6 linked regions of the Oryctolagus cuniculus genome follow. Each later gene encodes a partner of the first gene's protein in a complex. Links are inferred from orthologs where the notes say so. Each region holds a gene or a part of one and is shown in the gene's direction. Other genes may lie near its edges.

Evidence for each region.
Region 2: HDAC3 (region 1) and CIR1 share a complex: the UniProt entries of both Homo sapiens proteins name them as parts of the notch corepressor complex. The link is inferred for Oryctolagus cuniculus from reciprocal best matches to the Homo sapiens genes HDAC3 and CIRSR.
Region 3: HDAC3 (region 1) and TBL1XR1 share a complex: the UniProt entries of both Homo sapiens proteins name them as parts of the N-Cor repressor complex. The link is inferred for Oryctolagus cuniculus from reciprocal best matches to the Homo sapiens genes HDAC3 and TBL1XR1.
Region 4: HDAC3 (region 1) and NKAP share a complex: the UniProt entries of both Homo sapiens proteins name them as parts of the notch corepressor complex. The link is inferred for Oryctolagus cuniculus from reciprocal best matches to the Homo sapiens genes HDAC3 and NKAP.
Region 5: HDAC3 (region 1) and GPS2 share a complex: the UniProt entries of both Homo sapiens proteins name them as parts of the N-Cor repressor complex. The link is inferred for Oryctolagus cuniculus from reciprocal best matches to the Homo sapiens genes HDAC3 and GPS2.
Region 6: HDAC3 (region 1) and CORO2A share a complex: the UniProt entries of both Homo sapiens proteins name them as parts of the N-Cor repressor complex. The link is inferred for Oryctolagus cuniculus from reciprocal best matches to the Homo sapiens genes HDAC3 and CORO2A.

The regions. Positions count from the first base shown.
Region 1 is NC_091437.1:29,206,481-29,210,576, reverse strand, and holds the start of HDAC3 (histone deacetylase 3), read left to right. Parts: upstream 1-1,296; 5' UTR 1,297-1,373; coding exon 1,374-1,428; intron 1,429-1,535; coding exon 1,536-1,618; intron 1,619-2,898; coding exon 2,899-3,041; intron 3,042-4,096. UniProt on the Homo sapiens protein: Histone deacetylase that catalyzes the deacetylation of lysine residues on the N-terminal part of the core histones (H2A, H2B, H3 and H4), and some other non-histone substrates.
Region 2 is NC_091434.1:66,779,331-66,783,577, forward strand, and holds the start of CIR1 (corepressor interacting with RBPJ 1), read left to right. Parts: upstream 1-1,447; 5' UTR 1,448-1,538; coding exon 1,539-1,610; intron 1,611-3,845; coding exon 3,846-3,940; intron 3,941-4,247. UniProt on the Homo sapiens protein: May modulate splice site selection during alternative splicing of pre-mRNAs. Regulates transcription and acts as corepressor for RBPJ. Recruits RBPJ to the Sin3-histone deacetylase complex (HDAC). Required for RBPJ-mediated repression of transcription.
Region 3 is NC_091435.1:102,718,003-102,722,025, forward strand, and holds the start of TBL1XR1 (F-box-like/WD repeat-containing protein TBL1XR1), read left to right. Parts: upstream 1-1,223; 5' UTR 1,224-1,362; intron 1,363-1,657; exon of another isoform or gene 1,658-2,187; intron 2,188-2,326; exon of another isoform or gene 2,327-2,481; intron 2,482-4,023. UniProt on the Homo sapiens protein: F-box-like protein involved in the recruitment of the ubiquitin/19S proteasome complex to nuclear receptor-regulated transcription units. Plays an essential role in transcription activation mediated by nuclear receptors.
Region 4 is NC_091453.1:73,167,905-73,171,848, forward strand, and holds the start of NKAP (NF-kappa-B-activating protein), read left to right. Parts: upstream 1-1,144; 5' UTR 1,145-1,768; coding exon 1,769-2,148; intron 2,149-3,944. UniProt on the Homo sapiens protein: Acts as a transcriptional repressor. Plays a role as a transcriptional corepressor of the Notch-mediated signaling required for T-cell development. Also involved in the TNF and IL-1 induced NF-kappa-B activation.
Region 5 is NC_091448.1:51,915,539-51,919,798, reverse strand, and holds the start of GPS2 (G protein pathway suppressor 2), read left to right. Parts: upstream 1-1,460; intron 1,461-1,513; exon of another isoform or gene 1,514-1,757; intron 1,758-1,878; 5' UTR 1,879-1,948; coding exon 1,949-2,042; intron 2,043-2,330; coding exon 2,331-2,440; intron 2,441-2,511; coding exon 2,512-2,624; intron 2,625-2,745; coding exon 2,746-2,825; intron 2,826-2,901; coding exon 2,902-2,984; intron 2,985-3,145; coding exon 3,146-3,299; intron 3,300-3,377; coding exon 3,378-3,467; intron 3,468-3,555; coding exon 3,556-3,635; intron 3,636-3,735; coding exon of another isoform or gene 3,736-3,757; coding exon 3,758-3,853; intron 3,854-3,989; coding exon of another isoform or gene 3,990-3,993; coding exon 3,994-4,260. Other genes in the region: NEURL4 (neuralized-like protein 4), read left to right, coding at 759-963. UniProt on the Homo sapiens protein: Key regulator of inflammation, lipid metabolism and mitochondrion homeostasis that acts by inhibiting the activity of the ubiquitin-conjugating enzyme UBE2N/Ubc13, thereby inhibiting 'Lys-63'-linked ubiquitination.
Region 6 is NC_091432.1:201,885,333-201,888,832, reverse strand, and holds part of CORO2A (coronin-2A), read left to right. Parts: intron 1-1,035; coding exon 1,036-1,185; intron 1,186-2,628; coding exon 2,629-2,808; intron 2,809-3,500.

The DNA.
Region 1 (4,096 bases):
TCAGGATCCGAAACAGGCATGCCCCAGTGGACCCTCCGGTCCCACCACCCGGCTACCCAACCAGGGAGCTGTCCCGGCCAGCGGTGCTGGTCTGCCAAGACCGCCCGTGGCAGGAGGCCCGACGGCGGCTGGGCAAGCCCTCTTCCACGACCCTGGTCCCAGACCGTTCCCCTTCCCAGCTCGTCCCGCGCTCCCGTCCCTGCCAAGGACACTGCAGCGCCAGACGGGACAGCATTCTCCAGGCGGCGGGCGCTCTGATCGCGCCTGAGTCAGCGTCCGCACCTCCCTCCGCGCCGGCCTGAGCCAGGCCTCTGCAGCCCCCTCCCCTCCCTGTACTCCCGGACCCCTCCCTTCCCTTCTCGGTTCCTCCCACCCTGGCCACCTGGCCCACCCGGTACCGGTGGTTTGGTTCTGGTTCCGACTCCGGCTCGGGTTCCGGCTCCAGGGGCGTTCTAGTCCGGCTCAAGGCCCCCGACGCCCTCCCGGCGCTCATCCCTTGGTTCCTCCCCCTCCCCCCTTCGCCGCCTCACCGGCTCCCGGCTGTGGCTGCGGATACCGGGGCCGCGGCAGGCGGGGGGAGGGAAGGATGGCGCGGGCTGCGGGCTGCTTGGCCGCGGCGGCAGGCTCTGGACAACTCCGGCCCTGGGGAAGCGAGGCGATGGGGGAGCCCCCCGCAGCCGCCCTGGGTTCCCAAATGCCGTCGCCCGTTGCCGGCCCGGGATCAAGGGGCGGAGCGCAGGTGTGCGGGGCTCAGAGCGTGAGCTCGGCGCGCGTGTGAGCGCAAGTGGGATGCGCGCGTGACTGCGCTGGGCCCCCCCCGGGGGGAATGTGCGGCGCCGAGTCTGGGTCCAGGTAGGGGACAGGAGGTTCGGCGGGGGTGCTCTTCTCTTGGTCTATCCCGCACGCCTGGCGCAGCTCCTGCCCTCAGATGCCCTGGCTGAGAGGATGGCCGGGATCTTCCCAGGGAGCTGGGGGAAGCTGGCTTTCTGCCCCTGAGAGGGGCGGCGTGCCCGGATCTTCAGCGCTTCCTAGAGCGGTGACTACTGCCTGCCCTGGGTTTGGGACAAGTGGCGGGACGGAATGGCCTGGCTTCCCGAGGATCTGGCCTCCGCCCGCAAGGCAATGTTCCTGGCATCCTAGGACGGATGCTACCCGTCCCCCGCCCAAGCCAGGATGCTAAAGCCCCAGAACCTAATAGGACACAGCCAGGCGAGTGGCCCAACTCCCGCAAGGGGCGTGGCCTGGGCGGGCGGGGCGGGGCGGGGCGGAGCGGGCCCGCCCCCGTTCCGCAGGGGCAGGCTGCGTGCTTGCGCAGCACGCACGGCGGGGGTGGGGCTGGCGGCGGAGGCGCGGGGCCTGCTCCGGCCGGCACCATGGCCAAGACCGTGGCCTATTTCTACGACCCCGACGTGGGCAACTTCCACTACGGTGAGGAAAAAGGGTTATGAGCGAGGGGTGGGGACGCAGAGGTTTCGAGTTGGGGGCTGCATCTCCAGGGGTGGGAACTGACAGACTCCGTTCTCCCGCACCCCCAGGGGCTGGGCACCCTATGAAGCCTCATCGCCTGGCATTGACCCATAGCTTGGTCCTGCACTACGGCCTCTATAAGAAGATGATCGTGAGTCTCGCAGCCTCCGGGGATTGGGGGCGAGGGCCAGCTGCGGCTTTAGGGCTAGGTGGGCTGGGCTGACTGCACCAGGGGCAAGCCGCTCCTAGAGTAGTGGGTGGCCGAATGGAAGACCCCAGAGGCACCCCTTTACATGCAGGGTGTCGAGGAGGCTTCCCCTGATTTAATGGGAGTAACTTTTCCACCTCAGGTCTGCCGCCCTTTGCCCTGCAGCAGACCAACCCTTGTCCTAGGATTAGGGTGGTGCGGGCCTGGCTTAAAGGCAGGCTTTTTCCTCCCCCTGCATTATAGGCTGTGGACAGAGCTGTGGCATTGGGTATGGGGGGGCGCTGGATCACTGTTTCTGAGTGTGAGGTTTACCCCACAGTGCCTATCGCTGCTCTTCCATGTCTCTGCCTCCGAGGAGCTAGAGCTCCAGAGAGAACTCTGCACCACGCTGAGTATGAATGTGTGGGTGTGGAAGAGAGCAGATGTCCTGGGAGTTCCCTTTACAACCCAGAATACCTCTACATGCTTCTGCTCAATAACTGCCCAATCTTCTGTCTCCCAGGCTGTGGGTCCCCAGCATGGAATTGATCGCTGTGAATAATATGGGATAGTAAACACTTAAGCCCAACCCTTGCTTGTGAGGGGACTTCGTCAGCAGCATGGATGAATGTCCATTGCTAGTGCTGAGGCACAGACAAGTGGATGGGTCATAGACAAGACGGGGGCGATGTTAGTGCAGGAGCCTGGGGGTCCCTGGAGATTGTGTGCTTGGATGCACCTGTGCATATCTTTTTCCTTGCCCAGTTTTCAAAGAGGTGTGTGAACTCCAACCCCTAAGATGATAGGTACATGTTTGATTTAGCACCTTCCATTTTAGTTAGCAGGTTGTCATACAGACTGTATATTTGACTCCAGAAACCAGATGAGAGAGACTAGAATCAGGCAGGGGAGGGAGATGAGTATGGAGGGAACCAGGAATAGGAGATCTAGGGAACAGGGCAGGGAGATCAGCGCTCGAGATTAAGAAGGAAGGAGCCGTTGGACTGGAAGTGGGAGGGAGAGGGAGAGGAAGCAACCTTTGGGATCTTGATCAGCATAACCCACCTGGCTAGTTGGAGCTTTTTTCTTCACTGACCTTTTCTCATAGAATAACAAGGATGGCGGAGTGGGGGCATTGCTGTGTGGGTTGGGACAGTCTCCAGGACTGGGTTCGGTGAGGGCTGGTCTCAGCTCCGTGAGTGAGCCTGGCCCTGCCTGAATTTGTCTTGTGTCTCCATCCCGAGGTCTTCAAGCCGTACCAGGCCTCCCAGCATGACATGTGCCGCTTCCACTCTGAGGACTACATCGACTTCCTTCAGAGAGTCAGCCCCACCAATATGCAAGGCTTCACCAAGAGCCTTAATGCCTTCAACGTGGGCGATGACTGGTGAGTGAAGGCTGGACTTTGGATGTCATCAGGTTCGTTGGTACCAGGCCCTTCGGTGAGGTCTTGGCAGCAGTGGGAAGATAGGAGGGGGGGCTACTTGTCATTGAGTCACTGTTCACTTGTTTATTCAGTAAATATTTAGTGATCATTTGCTCTAGGCCAGGGCGTGTGCTGTGAACACCAACAATATTGTAATATTAATATTAATAATTCCTAAATATCAGTTATGCAAACAGTATTCAGATTTCCTCATTCATCTCATTTTTTTTTTTTAAGATTTATTTTATTTATTTGAAAGGCAGAGAGAGAGCGAGCGAGTGTGGGAGAGTATGAGAGATCTGCGGGTTCATTCTCTAAATGACTGCAACAGCTGGAGCTGGGGCAGGCTAAAGCCAGGAGTCTAGAACTACATTTGGGTCTCTCATGTCGATGCCCAGTATGTGGGCCATCTACCACTGCCTTCCGAGGTGCATCAGCAGGGAGCTGGATTGGAAGTAGAGCAGCCGGGACTTGAACTGGTGCTCCTATGAGATGCCGTGCATCATAGATAGGTGATGGGGTAACCTGCTGCACCACAATGCCAGTCCCTCTTTTTTTTTTTTTTTTTGCAGTAAATTTTTTTTTAAATCACGATCTAAATCAAGTCAGCATTATATTTGGTTGACGTGTCTCTTAAGACTTTCAATCTATGGCTTCCCCCTCTTCTCCGTGAATTTATTTTGATGGAAGACCTCTCTCTCTCTCTCTGCCTTTCCTCTCTCTGTGTAACTCTGACTTTCAAATAAATAAATAAATCTTAAAAAAAAAAAAGATTTTCAACCTATGGCTTGCCTTCTCCTTGAATTTATTTCTTGCCCGATGTTTCTTATGATAGCTAGCATTTGTTGAGTGCTTATTCTGCTAAGTATTAACCTGAGGGTTGCTGTGCAGTCTCCTAATTCTTACGTCAACGCTGAGATGTCTTTTCTCTGCTTTGTACATAAGTAAATGGAAATTTGAGAAGATTCGGAAGCTTAACCTGAGTCACACGGCTGGTCAGTGGAGGTGACAGGATT
Region 2 (4,247 bases), on another chromosome or scaffold:
TACTCCACAAATGGCCACAACAGCTGGGGCAGGGCCAGGCCAAAGCCAAGATCGCAGACCTCAGTTAGGATCTCCCATGTGGGTGGCAGGGGCCCGTCTCTATCTGAGTGCTGGTTTGAGTCTTAGCTGCTCTGCTTCGGATCCAGGAAAGCAGTGGAAGATGGCTCAAGTACTTGGGCCCCTGCACCCTCCTGGGAGACCCAGATGAAGCTCTTGGCTCCTGGCTGTGGCTTGGCCCAGCCCAGCCCAGGCATGAGGCCATTTCCAGGGTGAACTAGCAGATGAAAGATGTCTCTTCTCTCTGTCACTCTACCTTTCAAATAAATAAAAAATAAATCTTTAAATAAATAATGACTCAAGAAACGACTTCAACTAAAACTCTCTTCTCAGTGATGGAAGTTCTCCTTTGTTTCTGTGCTTTTCTTTGTGTATTTCAACCTTTATGTCCTGCGTTTCCTTCTAATTGTGGTCCAAAGTTAGTCCCATCACTCTATGAGCTTAGTAGGTCCTTTAATCCCTCTCTCTATGCTTCCTCCCTCATTGGTAAAATAAGATACTCTCTTATGGGGCTGTTACGAGAATTTAGTAAGACAACATGAAAAGCGTTTTTGCACAGTCAAGGAACGTGGCGGACACTTAAAGCTGTCACAGTTATTACTTGGCAGAGGAGTAAATTTCTCACAAAAGCCTTATTCTTAAGTCCCTCCCACTAGAGGCCTTGGGTGGTGAGGCAGCTACAGCGGTGGCAGCCCAGTCCACACAAAGCCCTTTAGTCCCTGCGCTAACCGGGGTCGTCGGGGAAGCTAAGGAAACTTAGAATGGCACGGAACTCCGCGGAGAAGGCGAAGCCTTAACAACCTTTACTACCTTCTAACCGTATTCATCGTTCAACAAACGTCTATTGAACATTTTTCAGCACCAGGCGCCGCACAGTTGGGAACAACTGGGAACAAAAGCATCCCCCCACCCCCGCTTCTGGGGAGCTGACAGTCTTATTTTAGAGGTGTAATCCACCAAGCGCTTTCTGAAACGTGACAGGGTTAGAACCTCACAAACTCTCCACAGTTAGGGCGACAACTGCCGTCTGCACAACACAGGAGAAAACCGGCGCAGGAAAGTTTCCGCAACTCAAGTTCCCAGAAAGTAACGGGATCAAACTCCAAGCAGCGCTGGCAGAAGCAGTCACCCTGCACCTCGCGCCGGAACCGCAGCCGGCGGGATGCAATCCGCCCCTGGCGCAGCTGGGCTCGGAGCCTCGCCCGTGGGCCCCTCGCCCCGGCAGGTCGCGCCGCGGTTCGCCCTTCCTCGTTCCCACCTCAACTCTGCACGCCGCTCCCCCGTGCACGCCCCTCCCCCGGCCTCCGAGCTACCTGAAGTGACAGGGGAAAGTGGCGAGGGAAAGCGGCTCGCTGCCGGAAGCTGCCACCTTTGACCTCGGAAGTTGCTGCTGCGGCCGGGGTGCAGTTCCGGTTAGGCGGCTGAGTTTGTTTACGCTGCTCTCGGGTTTGGAGGCTGCCGCCTTCTGCTCCGACTGCAAGATGGGGAAATCCTTCGCCAACTTTATGTGCAAAAAGGACTTTCATCCTGCCTCCAAATCCAATATTAAAAAAGTGAGTAAAGCGACCCGCGGAGGGATCTGGCTCATCGCTTCTGGGTCCCCGGGGGTTGCTTGAGGTGCGGTTTAGTGACGGTGTCCGTGTGATCCCCGGGAAGATCGCCGTTCCTGGATCATCTCCAGGCCTGAACCCGTGTGCTGTCGTCCCTTCTCCGCGGAGTATCTCACTGACGAAGCGATCCTTAATATTTATTTCTCATCCGCGGAGAACCGGGGAACCTAGTGGGCTCTGTCGCCTCTGTCAGAAAGTAAAGTCATAAAATGTGGAGATCGATATTAGAATTTCTTAGTGTTTCCCTCAGCTTTTGTCTTTTCTGGTCCCAGAGTTCACGACTCCTCAACTCTGGTTTCCTCTAAAATTCCCTGTTTAAGAGAGATCTTAAGAGAAATTAACTTGTTTCCACTCTACATCTCATCCAATAATGTAGTGTCTTTTTGATGACCTCGATTGAATTTAGCGTTTTAAGTAATTAATTTCAAGTCTGCTGGATGCGGGGTCGGATACTATGGCAGTGCAAAAATAGTGGGGAAGTAGAGTCTGAGTTAGACTCAGATTCCAGTTACTCCAGCACAGCTCCTGTTAGCCCTGAGACTTTGCACCTTTCTCAAAATACTTAATATCTAATCCTCAGTTTCCTAATCTGTAAATTAAGGAAAACCAGTATCGATTTCCGTGACTTGTGAAATTGCTGTGAGAATTAGTGAGGTTGTGCAGGTAAAAGGATTTGAAACAAAGAGGGCACTTAACCCTGTGTCCAGCTCAACAAAATGTTGATTGCCTGTACATACAAACTTGTGAAATGAACTAGCTTTTCGTTGTTTTTGAAACCACGTTGGCCGGCGCCATGGCTCACTAGGCTAATCCTCCGCCTGCGGCGCTGGCACAACGGGTTCTAGTCCAGGTCGGGGCGCCAGATTCTGTCCCGGTTACTCTTCTTCCAGGCCAGTTCTCTGCTGTGGCCCTGGAGTACAGTGGAAGATGGCCCAGGTCCTTGGGCCCTACACCCGAATGGGAGACAAGGAGGAAGCACCTGGCTCCTGGCTTCTAGCACTGACGGCCACTTGGGGGGTGAACCAACAGAAAAAGGAAGACCTTTCTCTCTGTCTCTCTCTCACTGTCTAACTCTGCCTATCAAAAAAAAAAAAAAAAGTTAAAAAAAAAAAAAACCAAACACAACTCAAATATAGGGGCCCATGTTTTTGGCTTAGCCAGTAAAACTGCCGCCTGCAATGCCAGCATACTAGGTGAGCACAGGTTGCTCTACTTCAGATCCAGTTCCCTGCTAATGGTCTGCGGAAAACAGTGTCAAAATGGCCTGAATACTTGGGCCCCTCACCCACAGGGAAGAAACTCCTAGCTTCAGCCTTGCTGTTGTGGCCATCTGGGGAGTGAACCAGTGGATGGAAGATCTCTCTCTCTCTCTGTAACTTTGACTTTCAAATAAATTTAAAAAGAAAATAAACTCAACTATACTGAGTTATATTTAATTTTTATATGTAAAACAATCCCATTTATTTAAAAAAGAATGTTGTGTATATTCTCTTACTTATATATGCATTAGAACATACTTATTTATTTATTTGAAAGAGTTACAGAAAGAGAGATCTTCCATCCGCTGGTTCACTCCCCAAATGGCTGAAATGGCCAGAGCCAGGCTGAGCTGAAGCCAGGAGTCAAGAGCTTCTTCTGAGTCTCGCACGTGGGTGCAAGTAGTTGGGCCCTCTTCTGTTGCTTTCCCAGGCACATTAGCAGGGAGATGGATCAGAAGTGGAGTAGCTGGGACTTGAACCAGTGCCTGTATGTGATACTTTACTCACCACACCACAGCATGGGCCCCTAGAACTTCTTTGAAAAGATATATAACAAAGGGAGTGGCATTCAAGGCTCTTGTTTAACCCTACATGTGCCCTATGCTGAAGAGTTATCTAGATGAGACAAATTCTTTTAGAGAGATTCTTGTTCTGTTCTCTGAAATAACCTAGGGACTGAGTTCAGAGTGGATCTCAAGTTTGACATTTTTGCCTGACAGTTCAGCTATTTTTAATGCTATCAAGATACAAATCAGATTTTTCAAGTATTATCTTGTGATGATGTCATTATGACTAAATTGGATTATGTTGTAAACTATAAATGATAGCATTTTATACTTACTGTAATATAAAACTTCCTTAAGTACTTAGATTAAGTATTTAAATACAACTATTTATTTTTTTTACTTTACTAATTTAGGTATGGATGGCAGAACAGAAAATATCATATGACAAGAAGAAACAAGAAGAATTGATGCAACAGTATCTTAAAGAACAAGAATCGTATGATAATAGGTATGAAATTCCATTTTGCCAGTGTTTTTAAAATAATGAATTATGTGAGAAGAATCCCTTACTGAATCATGTATTAATTCAGTTTTTTGGAGTTGAATGCCCCAGTGATAGGAGTCTGTTCTTTTTTTGTGAACTGTCTTCTTTACTCTTATACCTGTAAATGGCCACTTCTTCCAACTTTACCTCCAATTCACATAAAATATAGATTTATGTAGCTCATTACAGTCTGTGAGCAACTCCTAACTTAAGCAAAATTTAGAGGAACAGTAAACATCTACACTTGAACTGCTGAGACCTGGTTTTTTCA
Region 3 (4,023 bases), on another chromosome or scaffold:
TCAAAAAGAGCCCGCCGCACTCCCTGCCTCCATCCTATTATCGCGGTATCAGCCACCTCAGTTCCAGTTCGATCGCCGCCTCTGATGCGCCACAGCACACACGCACCGAGTGCGCGCAGGGCCTGAACTTCCACCGTGCAGGCTGCGGTAGAGGCACGTATTTAGTCCACACCGGGCAGCGTGATTTTATTCTCGTGAGATGCGAACTGATGGACCCAACCTCTGCCACAGGCCCACCAGACGATAAATACCACCATATGCTTGACGCACAGTCCATTTGGGCACAAACACTGCAATCACAGCCCTGTGTTTAGTATCAGAAACCCCTCCCGGTGTGCGACTGTTCGCTCTGCAGAGCCCGTGCTCCGGATTCCACTCGGAAAACCGCTTCTTACAGCTTAGAGCCCCTGTGCAGGTACGCTTCCCAGTAACATATGCACTGACGCACACAAAGGTGTGCACTAGCGCTAGCCCTTCCTCAGCAAATGTCCACACGAGGCCTGCGCCGCGCTCCCGCACATGCCCGCAGCGTGTGCGCCGCGCCGGCCGCCCAGGAAACTCGGCCGGCCCGGGCCCGGGTCCCGGCCCCGGCCCCGGCCCGGCCGCGCGGCCTACACCCAGCGGCCCTCAGCCGAGCGCGGCGGTGGGGGCGGGGCGGGGCCGCCCGCGCCCGGAGGCGCCTCGGAGCGCCCGCGGGGCCGGCTTTCTTTTTTAAAAGAATGCGCCGCACTCGCCCAGCCCCCAGCGCCGCCGCCGCCGAGAGCCGGGAGGGAGAGGAGCGCGGCCCGCGGACGCCCCCCCCCCCGCCGCTTCCCCGCGCCCCTCCCCCCGGCCCCTCCCCCGCGCGCCCGCCCGGCGCAGGCCGCTCGGGTTTGTTTTGCTGCGCGGCCGCCGCCGCCGCCGCCGCCGCCGCGGGCCTCGCGAGCTCATTTGTGCCTGGCTGGTCCCCATTCCTCTCTCCCCAGTGTTGAGTGTCTGAGCCGTTGGCTGCTCCGAACCGTTTGGCTCTTTCCCTTAGTAACAGCTTTTACCTTCTGCCTCAATTCCTCTCCCCGCTCGCGCCCTTCCCCCGCGCGCCGCCTCCCCCCGCCGCCGGCCGCGTGCGCCCCCGCCCCTCCCCCCGCGGCGGGAGCACCTCCGCTCGCCACCTGGGGACCCGCGCCGCGCTCCCCGCCCCCGCCCGCCGGCGCCCATCCCCCGCGCCCCGCGCTCGCCGGGGTTATAATTGCCTCTCACCCCCCGGAGGGGTTATTTTGGGGGTGGTTGGAGGCGGTGGCGGCGGCGGCGGCGGCGACGAGGGGAGTTTCCTTGTGCCTCCATTCCCGGGAGGGGGGGAGCGGCGTTGGAGGCCACCGTTTCCAGGTAAGCGCCGGGGGCCGGACCCCTGAGTGGGGGCGGCCGCGGGCCGGGCGGGGGGCCGCGGGCCGGAGGCGGCCGGGGGGCGCCGGGCCGCGGGGGGATGGGCGCTAGGGGGAACATGCGTTTTTCCACTGGGCCCTTGGGGGAGCTGGGGCTCGGGTGGGGGAGGGGAGGGAGGGCATTTAGGGTGCCCCATCCCCCCGCCTTGGCTCTCCCTGGCGCCTTTGAAATGCTCACGTGCCTGCCCACCCCCCCCACCCTCCCTGGGTCTCGGGGGGGATCCTCACCCTAATTATGTTGTCGTTGGCCCCGAAAATGGGCACCCGGGCCTGCTGGCCCCTTCCCCCTCCGTGCACCGACACCCCCTTTTTGTGTGTATGTGTATATGTGTATGTGTGTGTATATGTGTGTGTGTGTGCGCGCGCCGGGTGGGGGGAGGCTTTGAGGAAAGAATTTGCAGCAAATTGAATCAAGGAGCCATCATGAGGCCGACTCCTTTATAGCCTATTTTTAGCCGAGGAGACGGCTCCTCTCGATGCACGCGATTTTTGTGTGGAAGCCCAGGCAGCCATGGGAAGCGGCTCCCCCGGGCGGGCGCGGCCCGAGCCCCCGGCCGGCGTGCGGGGGGCTGCGGACGGTCGTTGGGGCCGCGCGTCCGGGGCGGGGGCGCCGGCGGCTGGGGGAGGGGCGGGCGGCCGCAGGGCCTCGCTCCGGGACGCGGTGGTTGGTCACTTGGTGCTTCCCACCGGCGGCGGGAGCTGTTTGGTGGAGCCCCTTTGAAGTTGGGTTCAGAAGTGTAGAATTGGCAAAGTTGTTGCCAGCTTCCTGGTAAGTTTCGGGTGGCACCGAGTGCCAGTGTTTTCTGACAGTGGAGAGGCCACGTTGTGAGAGGGTGGTTTCTCGGGAACTTCCTCTTTGCAGGCGAGGTCGTTTTTTTTTTTTTTTTTTTTTGAACAGAAAACAAGACTTTTTCTTGAAGTGAAATATTAATCTTCACGGTGGCAGCCCGAGGGAAGCCATGCGTGTGTTAACGTGTTCGGCGTTTTTTTGGAAGTTCCTAATTTGCTGAAGCGGGCATCGCCTTGCAGTGGCGACCGGGATTCAGTTCAGCCTGTGAAAATGGTGTGTTTCATGGAAAACTTGGGTCGTCGTGGCTTTTAAAAAAAATGCTCTTTGTTAGGTTATCCGACAATTTGTAAAAATAATGGGTGAATCTGAGAGAGAAGTGTTGCAGCCTAGTTAAAAATCGGATTTTCTCGGCGGCTGGAGTTTGCTTGAGATCTTGCTTGGACTGTGCAGGACCCAGAGGTTAAGAGTTTTAGTACCTATGCGATTTGCAGTCGAGTTAGGGAAGTTTACTACTGTTGGCTTTCTTGTTTTCCAAACAAGAACCTTATGCTCATCTAAACATCTTGTTAATAAAATATGGTGGGTTATTTTTAGTTCTAGGTTTTTAGACTGGAGGCTCCTTCCCCTCCCCCTCCATCATTAAGTAATCATCTTCCTCCTTTTTTTTTTTTTTTTTTCCTGAAGAGCCCTCCTCCAGTTTGGAGACCATAAGGGCCTCGTGGTGTTTTTAGCCTCTTAGCCTAAAACAACTTGAAGTAAATATCCTGGTTACACGGTGAAGACAGTGAGTGACTTTTTGGGGGGGGGGGTTTCGCAATGTGATTCATTTTTCATTTTTTGTTAAATGAGACCCATGTTACATTGGTGTATTTTAGTAATCTTGGCTTTCTGGGACTGCGTGTTCTCTCACCGTTTTAATAAGTTTATAGTCTGGAGAAGTAGGGCAGCTTTGTCTCCATGAAAACATCGTGAATGTTGGATTGTATCATGGGAGTTGATGGCAAGCTTCCCAAATTGTCATTGAGAGTTCTAGAAATAGTTAGCACTTACCTATGGGGGAGGGGCAGCAGAAAGAAAATAGGCTTGAGAGCCATTAGGCATGTGATGTGTGTTTATACTTTTTGCTCATAAATGGAGTTTTTCCTGCTTGTTTGGAGTCTCAATTTTTTGTTTTGAGTTTTGCTGTCCTGTACTGTGATGTATGTAATTGCAATCATTAGAGTTACAAGTAAGTGCCAATCCCCCCCCCCCCCCCCCCCGTTTGAAGTAGTTAGAATCAGTCCTGTGTAGGAGAAAGTAGTACACTCTATGGGGGATGAAAACAATGTGTGCATGGAAAAAGTTTTTCTTCTTGTGAGAATGGACTCAAGTGGCGTGTTAGTGTCTTAAAAATTGTTGCCAAGCTCACCGGCAGTTTGTAAGACATTTTCTTTTAACAGATGTCAGCTTTGGTTATTAACATGGGAGACGCTGATGGTAAATGGAGTGGCCCCTTGTGGAGATGGTATTTTTGCATCGGTTGCATCATGGAAGTGTTAAAAACATGTTAATAATTTTTTACATAGGTCCAGGAATCTCTTTGATACTTGTGTTCTCAACACCTAATTAAGCTTTTTGGGTGATTACCATGCTATCCGTCCAGCAACAGTAAGAAGTAACTGCTTCCTGTGCACTGCGAGCTTTTCAAGCTTTGCACAAAGGCAGATGCCGAACGTAAACATAGGGGTTCCTGATAAAAGGAGATGTAATTAACGGCTCTTCTGAATGTCAACCTGTTGAATAAATACATCAGTTCGTATATAGCAATGCAGCATA
Region 4 (3,944 bases), on another chromosome or scaffold:
CCCTGTGACCCACTTGGAAGACCCAGATGGAATTCTGGGCTCCTTCAGCCTGGACAGGCCTCAGCCACTGCAGTCATCTGGGAAGTGAACCAGCATATGGAAGATTCTTTCTTTCTTTCTTTCTTTCTTTCTTTCTTTCTTTCTTTCTTTCTTTCTCTCTCTCTCTCTCTCTCTCTCTCTTTCTCTCTTTCTCTCTTTCTCTCTTTCTCTCTTTCTCTCTTTCTCTCTTTTTCTTTCTTTCTTTCTTTCTCTCTCTCTCTCTTTCTCTCTCTCTTTCCCTTCCTTCCCTTCCCTTCCTTTCCTTTCCTTTTCCTGCCTTCTTTCCTTCCTTTCCTTACTTCCTCCCTCCCTTCCTTCTCTCTCTCTCTCTCTCTCTCTCTCTCTCTCTCTCTCTGTCACTCTGCCCTTGAAAAAAAAAATAAATCTTTAAAGCAGAAGAAGAAACAGGAAAAGAAATAAAGAGAGGAAGGGTGGGAGGAAGGAAGGAAGGAGCCCATACCCTGGGCTGCTGGTGTGGTACAGCAAATTATGCTGCCGGTTGCAACAGCAGCATCCCATATCGCAGTGCCTCTTTCAATCCAGCTCCCTGCAAATGTGCCTGGAAAAGCTGCCAAAGGACTGGCTGGGGCCATTTGAGAAGTGAACCAGCAGATAGAAGACCTCCATATCTCTCTCACATTCGCTCTCACTCTTGCTCTACCTTTCAAATAAGTAAATAAATATTTTAAAAGCAGCAGCAGCAGCCAGCATCCCATATCAGAATGCCAGAATTCCTGACTTCAGCTCCTAATTCCAGCTTCCAGCCAATGCAGACCCTTGAGGCAACAGGTGATGTCTCAAGTAATTGGGTCCCTGCCACCCACGTGTGACACCTGTATTGGTTCCTGGTTTCAGCTTGGCCCAATCCTGGCTGTTGCATGCATTTGAGGAGTGAATTGGTGGATAGGAACTCTGTCTCTCTTTCTGTCTCTACCTCCCAAATTTAAAAACAGTAGAAAATGAACAGAAATACTGATCATAAACCACATATTGCTAGGCTAGCAGATGACTAGTTTAAGGGGCTGGATAAAGAGAGGGTTACATATTCCTTTTGCTGAAGCACACGGGTGGAGATAGTTACTGTAAGAAAAGTATGCAATTTTTCTCTGGGCTGCAAACTTATTTGGAGTGTATCAGGCTCAAGACGTTAACACAGACTTTGTGCCTTCTATGCTACCTGGGCAATACGGAGCTTAGATATCATAGCTCACCCCAATCGCGATAAACTTTCCTAATTTTTCTTGGGATTAGGAAAAAAAACCAAATTATATGCAATATATATTCTCAATCATACATAAATGCATAATTATACACAGAAGGCACACGAAACACATACAGAATTGGATGTGTTGTTCATACGACCACTCTGTGAAATGTATCTTATATTCCGCCATCCTTCTCTTCAGGTACCACAAAGTTCGAAGCTGAGAAAGGACTTTATCTCCTCTCCCCGTTAGTTTAGCTTTGAGAAGCCACTCGGAACTAGAGGAGAGCGTAGACCCAGTTGCCCTACCGGCTTGTTTATACCGATACACACGTCCGTTCAAGTCTGCAGAACCGCCTACGTCCGGGGAAGGGGTTTACCGACGTACTCGAAACGATTCCCAAGGTTCCCCTCAGGTTTGGGTGGTTGTAAGGTGGCGGGATCTGAAAGCCAAGGCAACCGGGATCTTCCTAGACTGGTGAGAGCGCCCCCTTCTTCAGCGACTTCTGGGATCCTGCAGCAGCAATGGCTCGGGTATCCGGCTCACGGAGCCCGGAAACTTCGGGCTCCGGGGGAAAACGTCGCAGTTCGTCGAAGAGCCCCAAGCCCAGCAAATCTGCTCGGTCCCCGCGGGGCCGCCGCTCTCGCTCGCACTCTTGCTCTCGATCCGGGGAACGGAATGGCCTCAGTCACCATGTAGGTGGCCTCAGTCACAGCTCAAGAAACCAGTCCTACCGCTCCCGCTCGCGGTCACGTTCTCGAGAGCGGCCCTCTGCGCCTCGGAGCACACCTTTCGCTTCTGTCTCCTCGTCCACCTATTATGGCGGCTACTCGCGCCCCTATGGGAGCGACAAGCCGTGGCCTAGCCTCCTGGACAAGGAGAGGGAGGAAAGCCTGCGGCAGAAGTGAGTGACCCCCCTCCCCCACTTTTCCTTTTACGAACCCACCTCCCTTTGGAGTCCGATTTATCATTCATTCCTCTTGTGGCCGTTTGTGTTCGCTCATACTTGCCTTGTATCCGTTTTCACCCCGTTATCCAGTCCACCCATGGCGACCCTTTTATACGTCCTTTTATTCCCTTACATTTTCATTCATTATACATTGCCATGGTTTCGTGCTACCCTCTTCCCTCTTCGGGGTTGTTAGCAAACGCGGTCAAGAGCCTCACATCTACCAGATTTATAGCATTTACTTGGTTGTGCCATTATCATTTGAGAGCCCTTTTATTGATTATAGAATTCCCAGTGCCTAGCACTTTGCAAACATGCAACCATTGCTTATTGAAGAAATAGGCTTGATTTAACAGAACACGTAAGTGGTAATGTTTTGTGGGGAATTGGGAAGGTTGAAATCAAGGGTTTAAATTGGAGAGAAGGAAAATCTTCCCCTCAGACAAGGCGATGAATGTAGGAAAAGTGACCTGCTAGGCTGTAGATGAGGCTACCTTGAGAAAGGACTTGCAGAGTGGTCTCGATCTTGTTTGATCATGAAAAATGATATTGGGGTGAGATCAAATTTCTAGTAAGAGTGAGTATGGAGTGGAAAAATGCATGGTTTAAGGGGAAAGGAAAAGGTTTATAATTATTGCTGTGGAAGCCTTTGTCTCTAATGTTTATTAAAGGTTAGATTTATGTATCCAGTACTGTGCTGAGGACTAGACATGCTGTATGTGTCAGAAAATGAGAAATGTAAAAGTATTTCAGGCATTGAGGAGCAAGTTAAAGTTTCAGCAGTTGAGAGGTGTCTTTGTGATTCTTTTGCTAACTGCAGTTTCATCCAGGAATCAGACTGTCTGAAATTGATGTGCTTATTTGGTATTTAACAACAGTGTGAACTTGAGCGAGTTGCTTAACCTCTCTGAGTTTTACTTCTTCACTATTAAAAAAAAGATAAAATTAGTATGAAGGATTTTAGGGTTGTAATAATTTAGTGTTTGGAACATAATAAATACTCCACAAGTGTTAGATGTTAGTTCAGCATGCATGGAAGAAGAAACAGTGAAAACAGTCCTGAGTTAGGTTACTTCCAAGTTAAATTTTTCAGAAAAGTACCCAGAGGCTTTATCAATCAAAAAGCAAATGGTTTCTTAGTGGAAAATCTCCACCAAAATATGTCAGAACTACTTGAATGAAATTTGCATTTGTACATTTAAGGAGATAAGTAATTTATCTTAACAGTACAGATGAAGCCAGGTGACAGCAGGTATGAGAACAGGACTCCAAGCACTGTAGAATTTGGCTGATACTCTTCTCCCTATATGTAAATATTCCAAGTATGTCCCCTTTTAGATTGTATGTTTCTTAAAGTGGGAAATGCTGAGTCTGACTCTGCATAATGATGATATAATTTCCCCCTGAAGAAATAATATAATTTATTCAAACAAACCAGCTATATTTATTTTGTAAGGATGTTTAAAAAGAAATCAAATCACAAACAGCCAAACTTTTAGGAAGTGGGCCTTTTTTTTTTAACTTTAAGAGTAATAGCAAAAATTAAAACAAACCACATTATAAAACAAAAGAAGAAAATTTTAATGTCCTCCAAAGAATAGAGAATGTACTACTTTTCCAAAAAGAAACTAAAGGGAAAACAGAGAGAGAACAAACCCTGTGTCTCACTGAGTACAAGTTTTGTCAAATAAGACTTTTTTTCATTTTTAGAACTTTTGTTTTCTGCTTTTATCAATTCCTGGGCTTCTGAA
Region 5 (4,260 bases), on another chromosome or scaffold:
GCTATGCCGATCCGAAGCCAGGAGCCAGGTGCTTCTCCTGGTCTCCCATGGGGTGCAGGGCCCAAGCACCTGGGCCATCCTCCACTGCACTCCCGGGCCACAGCAGAGAGCTGGCCTGGAAAAGGGGCAACCGGGATAGAATCCGGCGCCCTGGCCGGGACTAGAACCTGGGGTGCCAGTGCCACAGGCGGAGGATTAGCCTAGTGAGCTGCGGCACTGGCCAGCCTTTGGTATTTTTAAAGGTGCTGAGTCAATACTGTGGAAACAGAGGAAGGAGAGTGGGGTGAGGCGGATGGGAAATGCTGATGCAGCAGCCACATTACAAGGGGTCATCTCGGGGCTCACGGTGCCTGGGGTCAGTTCCAGGCTCGCTCCTGGCCCCAGCCTCCTGCCGATGCAGACCGTGGGAGGCAGCAGTGATGGCTCCAGTGACTGGGCTCCTGCCACCCCTGGGGCAGACCTGGATTGACCTAAGCTCCTGGCTTCAGTCCTGGCCCAGCCCTGGCTGTTGTGGGCATTTGAGGACTGACCAGCACATGGGAGCTCTGTCTGTCTGTCTCGCTGTCTCTGCCTCTCAAATCGGGCGGGCAGGGTAGGCGTCACAGGAAGGGGAAGTGAGGGTTGTGGCCGGACAGGCTGTGGGAGGCAGAGCCTTTGGGGTAGACAGAACAGCTGGAGCTAAGGCCTTTTCCTTGGAGCAAACCCTAAGTGTGGCTGGGGCGGAGGCCTCACTCCCGTTTCTGCTTCTTGCCCGACAGATTCCGGGACCCCAAGTCTCAGCGGACACACCGGGCTCAGGTGGCGTTCCAGGTGTGTGTGCGCCCTGGCTCCTACACCCCGGGCCCCCCTTCCGCTGCACACAGAGAACCTCCGGACCCCCACTTCGGCGCGGCCGAACTTGAGTGGGTCACTAAGGAGAAGGGGGCCATACTCCTCTATGCCCTGCTGGTACGGGTGGAATGAGGGGCGAGACCCCACTACTACAAGCACAGCTGGGTCTCGGCCCGCGGACTCCGAGTGACGCCTGCCTCCACCTCATTCCAGTGACTCATGGCATGCACAGGTGCTCAGTGTTGGCAGATGCGCAGGAACTGCAGTGTAGACAGGCTCTCAGATTCAGATGGGAAGTGGAGCACACCTCCGTGTCCAGGGGCCCAGAACACTCCCTCTGATGGCGGGGAGCTTGCGGGGAGCCCAGCTCCGGGCCCAGGGGACCCCTCTTCATGCACTGATTTGGGGAACACGACTCCCTACTACTCCCCTCCCCCATATCACTTAATTTATTTCCGTTTTTGTTTCTGGTTACTGTGAATCCCAGGAGTCCCCCTGTGTCCACATGAAGCTGCTTTTCCGGGGGCCGGCGGGCGGGCGTGGGCCGGGCGGGCACGAGGACGACGGGGCCCTCTGTACAGTTGTTACTGACTGATTTCTAAAGAGCCAATAAACGCCCTCTCCTAGCATCCGCTTCAGCCTCTCTGTCCCCGCCGCCCCGCGCCGAGGTTTGGGCGTCGCGGGCACCCGTCCCAGTGCACTTCCGCCTCTCCCTCGGCCAACCCGCGAGGCCGGCCTCCGCCGTGACTCCGGAAGCACTCGGCCCGGCCGCCGGATGTGACGTAGCGGGGGCCGAGGTGCGCCGGGGCCGCGGAGAGAGCGCCGAGAAGGCGGGTAGGGAGGGGCGGGCGGCCCGGGCCGCGGAGGAGAGCGGCCGGAGCGTCCAGCCGGGACCTTGGTGCCGCCGGGGCGCGCCGCGGAGCGGGGTCTGTGGCCAGACCGAGCGAGGGGCTCCCGCCGCACGTGACCCGGACGGCGAGCGGGCCGGGCGGACGGGCTTCCGCCGCGGCTGGCCACGGCCCCCACTGAGCTCCCGCCTCCCCGCAGGCCTCATCCCGAAGTCTGGCAGTCACTGACATAGCCGGGCGCCCACGGCCCGAGCGTCCCCACCGGCACCATGCCCGCGCTCCTGGAGCGCCCCAAGCTTTCCAACGCCATGGCCAGGGCGCTCCACCGGCACATCATGATGGAGCGGGAGCGCAAGCGCCAGGGTGAGCCGGGCCGCAGTGGGAGGACGCACGCCCGGGGTGTCTGCGCTGGCCCAGGGTCGGCCCCCGCCCACGGGCCGACCCCTGCGCGCGAGGCCGAGTTAGAGGAGGGAAGGAACACCCCCACGTCGTGCGGGGAGTTAGAGACCTGCTCCCAAGCTCCAGGGAAGGACCTTGGAGAGCACCTGATCAAGCCGCCCTCTGGCTGTCCCGTGGCGGTGGAGGGAGCGTGCAGGAGCCTCGGGGTAACTGGCGTGGCTAACGTTGGGCTCCCCCCCCCCCCTTCTGCAGAGGAAGAGGAGGTGGACAAGATGATGGAACAGAAGATGAGGGAGGAGCAGGAGAGGAGGAAGAAGAAGGAAATGGAAGAGAGGATGTCCCTGGAGGAGACCAAGGAGCAAGTACGCACCGCCACCTCCCTGCCCGGCTCCTCCCGCGGCAGCCGCGCCTCCATCCTCTCCTTCCCCCCCAGATCCTGAAGCTGCAGGAGAAGCTTCTGGCCTTGCAGGAGGAGAAGCACCAGCTCTTCCTGCAGCTCAAGAAGGTTTTGCACGAGGAAGAAAAACGGAGGCGAAAGGAGCAGAGGTGGGATCGGGGAGCCGAGAGTGGGAACGGGGCCGGCTGCACCGGGGCGGGGACAGGGCACTGGTGCTCGATGGCGAGGGGCTCCTGTGCTTGGCTCTGACCTGCTTTCCTTTCCCTCCAGCGACCTGACCACGCTGACCTCGGCTGCCTACCAGCAGAGCCTGACGGTGCACACGGGAACTCACCTGCTCAGCATGCAGGGTGAGGGCTGAGGGGCCCACCTGCCGGGCAGGGCAGCCCCCCACTCCAGCGTCACAAAGCTGCTCTTCCTTCCTAGGGAGCCCCGGAGGACACAGCCGCCCAGGCACCCTCATGGCAGCTGACAGAGCCAAACAGATGTTTGGACCCCAAGTGCTTACGGTGAGAAAAGCAGGGCGAGTGGGCCCAGGCCCATTGCCCTGCTACACCCACCCTGGCGTACTTGATGTGAGAAGCATCCCAAGCACACCTCGCGTCTGCAGAGCTCGCGAGTCCGGAGTTTGTGTTCCAGTTTCCATGGAGCTCTCGTCCCCCCTCCCTAGACCCGGCACTACGTGGGCTCCGCAGCAGCTTTTGCAGGGACACCAGAGCACGGGCAATTCCAAGGCAGTCCTGGCGGTGCCTACGGGACTGCCCAGCCCCCGCCTCACTACGGGCCCACCCAGCCAGCCTATAGTCCCAGCCAGCAGCTCCGAGGTGAGTGCTAGGGGGCCCCTCCTGGGAACCGGGAAGGAATGCTGGAGTTCTGATGCCGGTGCCTCTTGCCTTTCTCAGCACCGTCAGCGTTTCCTGCAGTGCAGTACCTCTCTCAGCCTCAGCCACAGCCCTATGCCGTGCATGGCCACTTCCAGCCCACCCAGTCAGGTGACCAGGACACCCACTGGGAGCCCTAGCTCCAGCCCCTCCCGTCCTCACTCTCACGTCATTTCACACGCCCCTGTCCCCCACTTAGGGTTTCTACAGCCTGCTGGTGCCCTGTCCTTGCAAAAGCAGATGGAACATGCTAACCAGCAGACTGGCTTCTCAGACTCTGTGAGTACTGGGTCCTGGGGTGTGGGTCAGGACTGTGAGGAGCCCTTGGGGCAGGGGGTGTGGCGTTAGGACTGTGCAAGGTTAGCCCTGCACACCTCAGGTCCTGACTCTGTTCTCTGCAGTCTTCCCTGCGCCCCATGCACCCCCAGGCTCTGCATCCAGCTCCTGGACTCCTTGCCTCCCCCCAGCTCCCAGTCCAGATGCAGCCAGCAGGAAAGGTAAGGGTGGTGATCAGCAGGGAAAGGTCAGGACAAGTGGCCACGACCCCCGCCCTGCTCTGCCCTGGGATGCTTGTCAGGGTCTGAGTGGGAGGGAGAAGGGGCCACTGACAGACCCCTCCTGTCACTCCACCAGTCAGGCTTTACAGCTACCAGCCAGCCCGGCCCTCGGCTCCCCTTCATCCAACACAGCCAGAACCCACGCTTCTACCACAAGTGACCACCAGAGAGTCTCTTCAACCCCACCACGGGTGAGGGTCCCCCTTGTGTGTCCCAGGCCAATAAACTCTACCTGCCATGGCCCTGCTGCTGCTGTTTGTGTTGCCCCCACCCAGCTGTGGGGCATTCCACGGCTGCCTGGGGGGAGGGGGAGGCTGGCAGGTCCACAGCAAGTCCAAGTGATGACA
Region 6 (3,500 bases), on another chromosome or scaffold:
TTCTGGCACCTTCTCCCCATCACCTCGGTTCCTTCCCAGAAGCCTCAGGGGCAGGGTTATGGGGGAGGGGGTGGGGTATCAGTTCTTTCCTGTAAAGTGCTCAGGTCCCCCCACCCCTGCTCCCAGGGCCTGAGGGCAGGGACGAGCTTCTAGCCCTGGGGTTCCTGGTGCTTTCGGGTTGAGCAGGCACCTGCACCTCCCCAAACAGGCCTGGCCAGTAACCGCCCTCGGCAGACCCATCTGTTTGCAGCTCGGGGCCTGCCTTCCTGGTATGAAACCCAAAACGACCAGGAAGTCAATATTTGCTGAGCCGAGAACAAAGCCGTCCAGCCGAGAAGCCTGTGTCTCAGAGAAGCGGAGCCGGGCCGGAGGACCCGGCAGGACAGCCCGGAAGGCCCGCGGGCACCGCCCCTGGCTCCAGCGCCCGCTGCCTCGTCCATGTCTGCCTCCGTGGCAGGGCGCTCGCTCCGCTAGCGCCCCCTGCCGTCCGTCCCTGGCCCGGCCCCCTGGCTTCCAGCCTGTCCTCTTCCGGGCCATCCAGGGCGCCCTGCGGAGCAGGAAGATGGCCCTGTCCCGTGCTGCTCCAGAGCCTGCGCTGGCTCCCAGGTGCCCTGAGGGCCAGCCTGGTGCTGCCTTGCTCGTCCTGACCCTGAGCTTCCGCCCTGGGCCTTGAGTGCGAGGTGGGGGCGGAGCCCTGGCCCCGGAGGGCTGGGCTGAGCTGGAAGGCAGCTTCGCTGTGGCATCCAGCGTGGGGACACTCCTGCGCCCATCCACCTGCCCAACATGTCCAACCGTCCAGGTGGCCAAGCATCCCCAGGGGCGGGTTGGGGGGTGTGGGCTCGTCTCTGCTCAGCTGGAGGACTGTGGCGAAGCCCGTTCCTCCGGGGCGCCCAGCTGTCCTTGACCCGTGGAGAGATGGATTTGGAGACTTTGCCCACTGCCTCTGCCGAGCACTGCCGGGTCCGTGGCTTGGGGTGGAGAAGGCAGGGAGGCGGCCCCGACTGACCCTCCCGTGGGCCGTGTCTCCCCTGCCAGATCAAGATCTGGGCCATCCCCAAACAGCTGCTGTCCAAGAACCTCACGGCCTACAGGAAGGAGCTGATGGGCCACGCGCGCAGGGTGGGCCTGGTGGAGTGGCACCCCACGGCCGCCAACATCCTCTTCAGCTCCGGCTACGACTACAAGGTGAGCAGCCTGCGTGGCCCTCTCCAGGGCTGCCTTTACAGCTGTCACCATTCTAGAGACAGAAACCCTACCTGGAGCTGAGCTCTTGGGGGAGATCGGCGCCCCCTACAGGCTCCAGAGAGAATATTCCTTTTTTTTTTTTTTAAGTATTTATTCATTTATTTGAAAGCAGACTTAGAGAGAGAATCTTCCATCTGCTAGCTCACTCCCAGATGGTTGCAACGGCCAGAGCTTGGCCAGGCCAAAGCCAGGAGCCAGGCGCTCCATCCAGGTCTCCCAAGTTTTGGGTGGCAGGGACCCAAGGCCTTGGGCCATCTCCCACTGCCTTCCCAGGAGCATTAGCAGAGAGCCAGGTCGGAAACGAAGCAGCCGGGACTCGAACCCATGCTCGTGTGGGATCAGGGTGCAGGCGGTGGCTTAGCCTGCTGCACCACGACGCCAGCCCTGGGCGGACCTTCCTGCCCTGTCCGGGGTCTGGTGGCTCCAGGTGCGCTTCACTCTGTCACTTAGCAGTGTCACTCCAAGCTCTGTGCTCCCACAGCCTCTCCCCGTGCGCCCGCAGGTCCTCTCCTAACCCGTTGTGACTGCACCTGAGCTAACGCCATCTGCAAGAGCCTCTTTCCACCCGGGCTCACATCTCGCATTCTGAGTTGGGGGGTGGGGGGTTGGGTTTGGGGAGACGCTGTTGAAGCCGTCACATCCTGCCAGAAGGGAATGGACCAGGCCTGCCAGGGCATCTGCCCTCTGCCCTGCTGGCTGCCGGGGGGACTGTGGGCCCCACGGCTGGGGGAAGTCCTGGCACAGGAGAGCTGCATTCCTCCCACTCCGCCTCCGGTTTGCGGGATGACCCGAAAAGTCCCTTGCCTCCTCCAGGCCTCGGTTTCCCAACCTGAAGACAAATAGGATTTCAGACTCTGCCCTTCTGACCCCGCAGCAGTTTGCAGAAGCAGCCGTGATGAGGAGAGGGTTGCTGGACCTCGGGGCCAGAAGTGCTCTTTCTCCTGGTTCTGCAGGGTGGGTCTGTGGGGCTCCCCGGCAAAGCTGTGTGCATTATTCCACACCCGCCTCCAGGGGGCGCTCTTCACACGGCCGCGAGTGTACAGTCTGTGTCACCACCCCAGGCAGTCCTGTTTGTCCATGCCAGGTGGGACCTGCTGCTTGTGACTGTTTGAAATCCTGGCATTAGCTGATCCCTTGGGGTCTTCCCAGCGTGATGTTCCGTTGCAGGAAGGCAGATGGTGTTTTGCTTTCGAGGCTAAATGGCCCTGCTCCCGGCTTCCCCCTCCCGCCATGCTTGGCCTCAGCCTGAAGATCCGCCCTCTGACCTGAGGCTTCCCAGCCAGGCTGCCAGCTGCAGCTCCCCTCCCAGGAATACTGTGTCTCACGGCAGGGTGCTGGGGCGGGGGTGGCCCTGTGCTCAGGGGCCCGCGCTGTGCCGCGCAGGTGATGGTCTGGAACCTGGACACGAAGGAGGCAGTACTCAGGAACCCCGTGCAGACGATCACTTGCCACCAGGACGTCATCCTCTCCATGTCCTTCAACACCAACGGCAGCCTGCTGGCCACCGCCTGCAAAGACCGAAAGATTCGGGTGCTCGACCCCCGAGTGGGGACCGTCCTCCAGGCGAGTGCTGGGCCCCAGGGGGCCACGGGGCTCCCGAGAGCAGGGCAGTGAAGCCGCCAGCAGCCGCGCCCAGGCTTTAGGGGCGTAGGCTGCACCCCCAACCCCCACCCAAGCCTGTCCCATTAGCACCACTGGGAGATAGGGTTTGCCGGCTCCATTTTTCAGATGACAAAACTGAGGCCAAAGAGAGATGAAGGGACCACACTGAGAGCTGGCATTTGAATCGGATCTGACTCCAGAGCTGGTCAGTGTGCCTCAGCGCTGTCCCTGGCCGGCGTCAGGAGACCTGAGGGCGCACTGGTTGTCAGCCGTGTAACCTCGGGCAGGCAGCTGCTGCTCTCTGAGCCCCTTCCTCCTTGTCTGCAGCCATGGGCTGACATCCTGCCTCTTAGGTGACTAACTGCACCAACCCATGTGGCAGTGGCCACCCTGCTGTCACTGGGAGTGCGGAGCTGGGCAGGGGTTTGTCTGTGACTTTGCTCAGAAAAAGAATTGCACCGATAGCAAGAAGGGATCCGGGAAGACTTCCTAGAGGTGGTGGCCCTGGGAAGATTCCCCAGCAGAGTTGGGGTGAGGAAGGAGGAAGGCCTTGTCCAGGTGGGACAACAACATCAGCAAAGCAGGGAGGCCAGAACCACCTGCTGCCATGGGGGTCCCCTCCCAGCATCTCCCCGACGCTGACCGCACCTGTC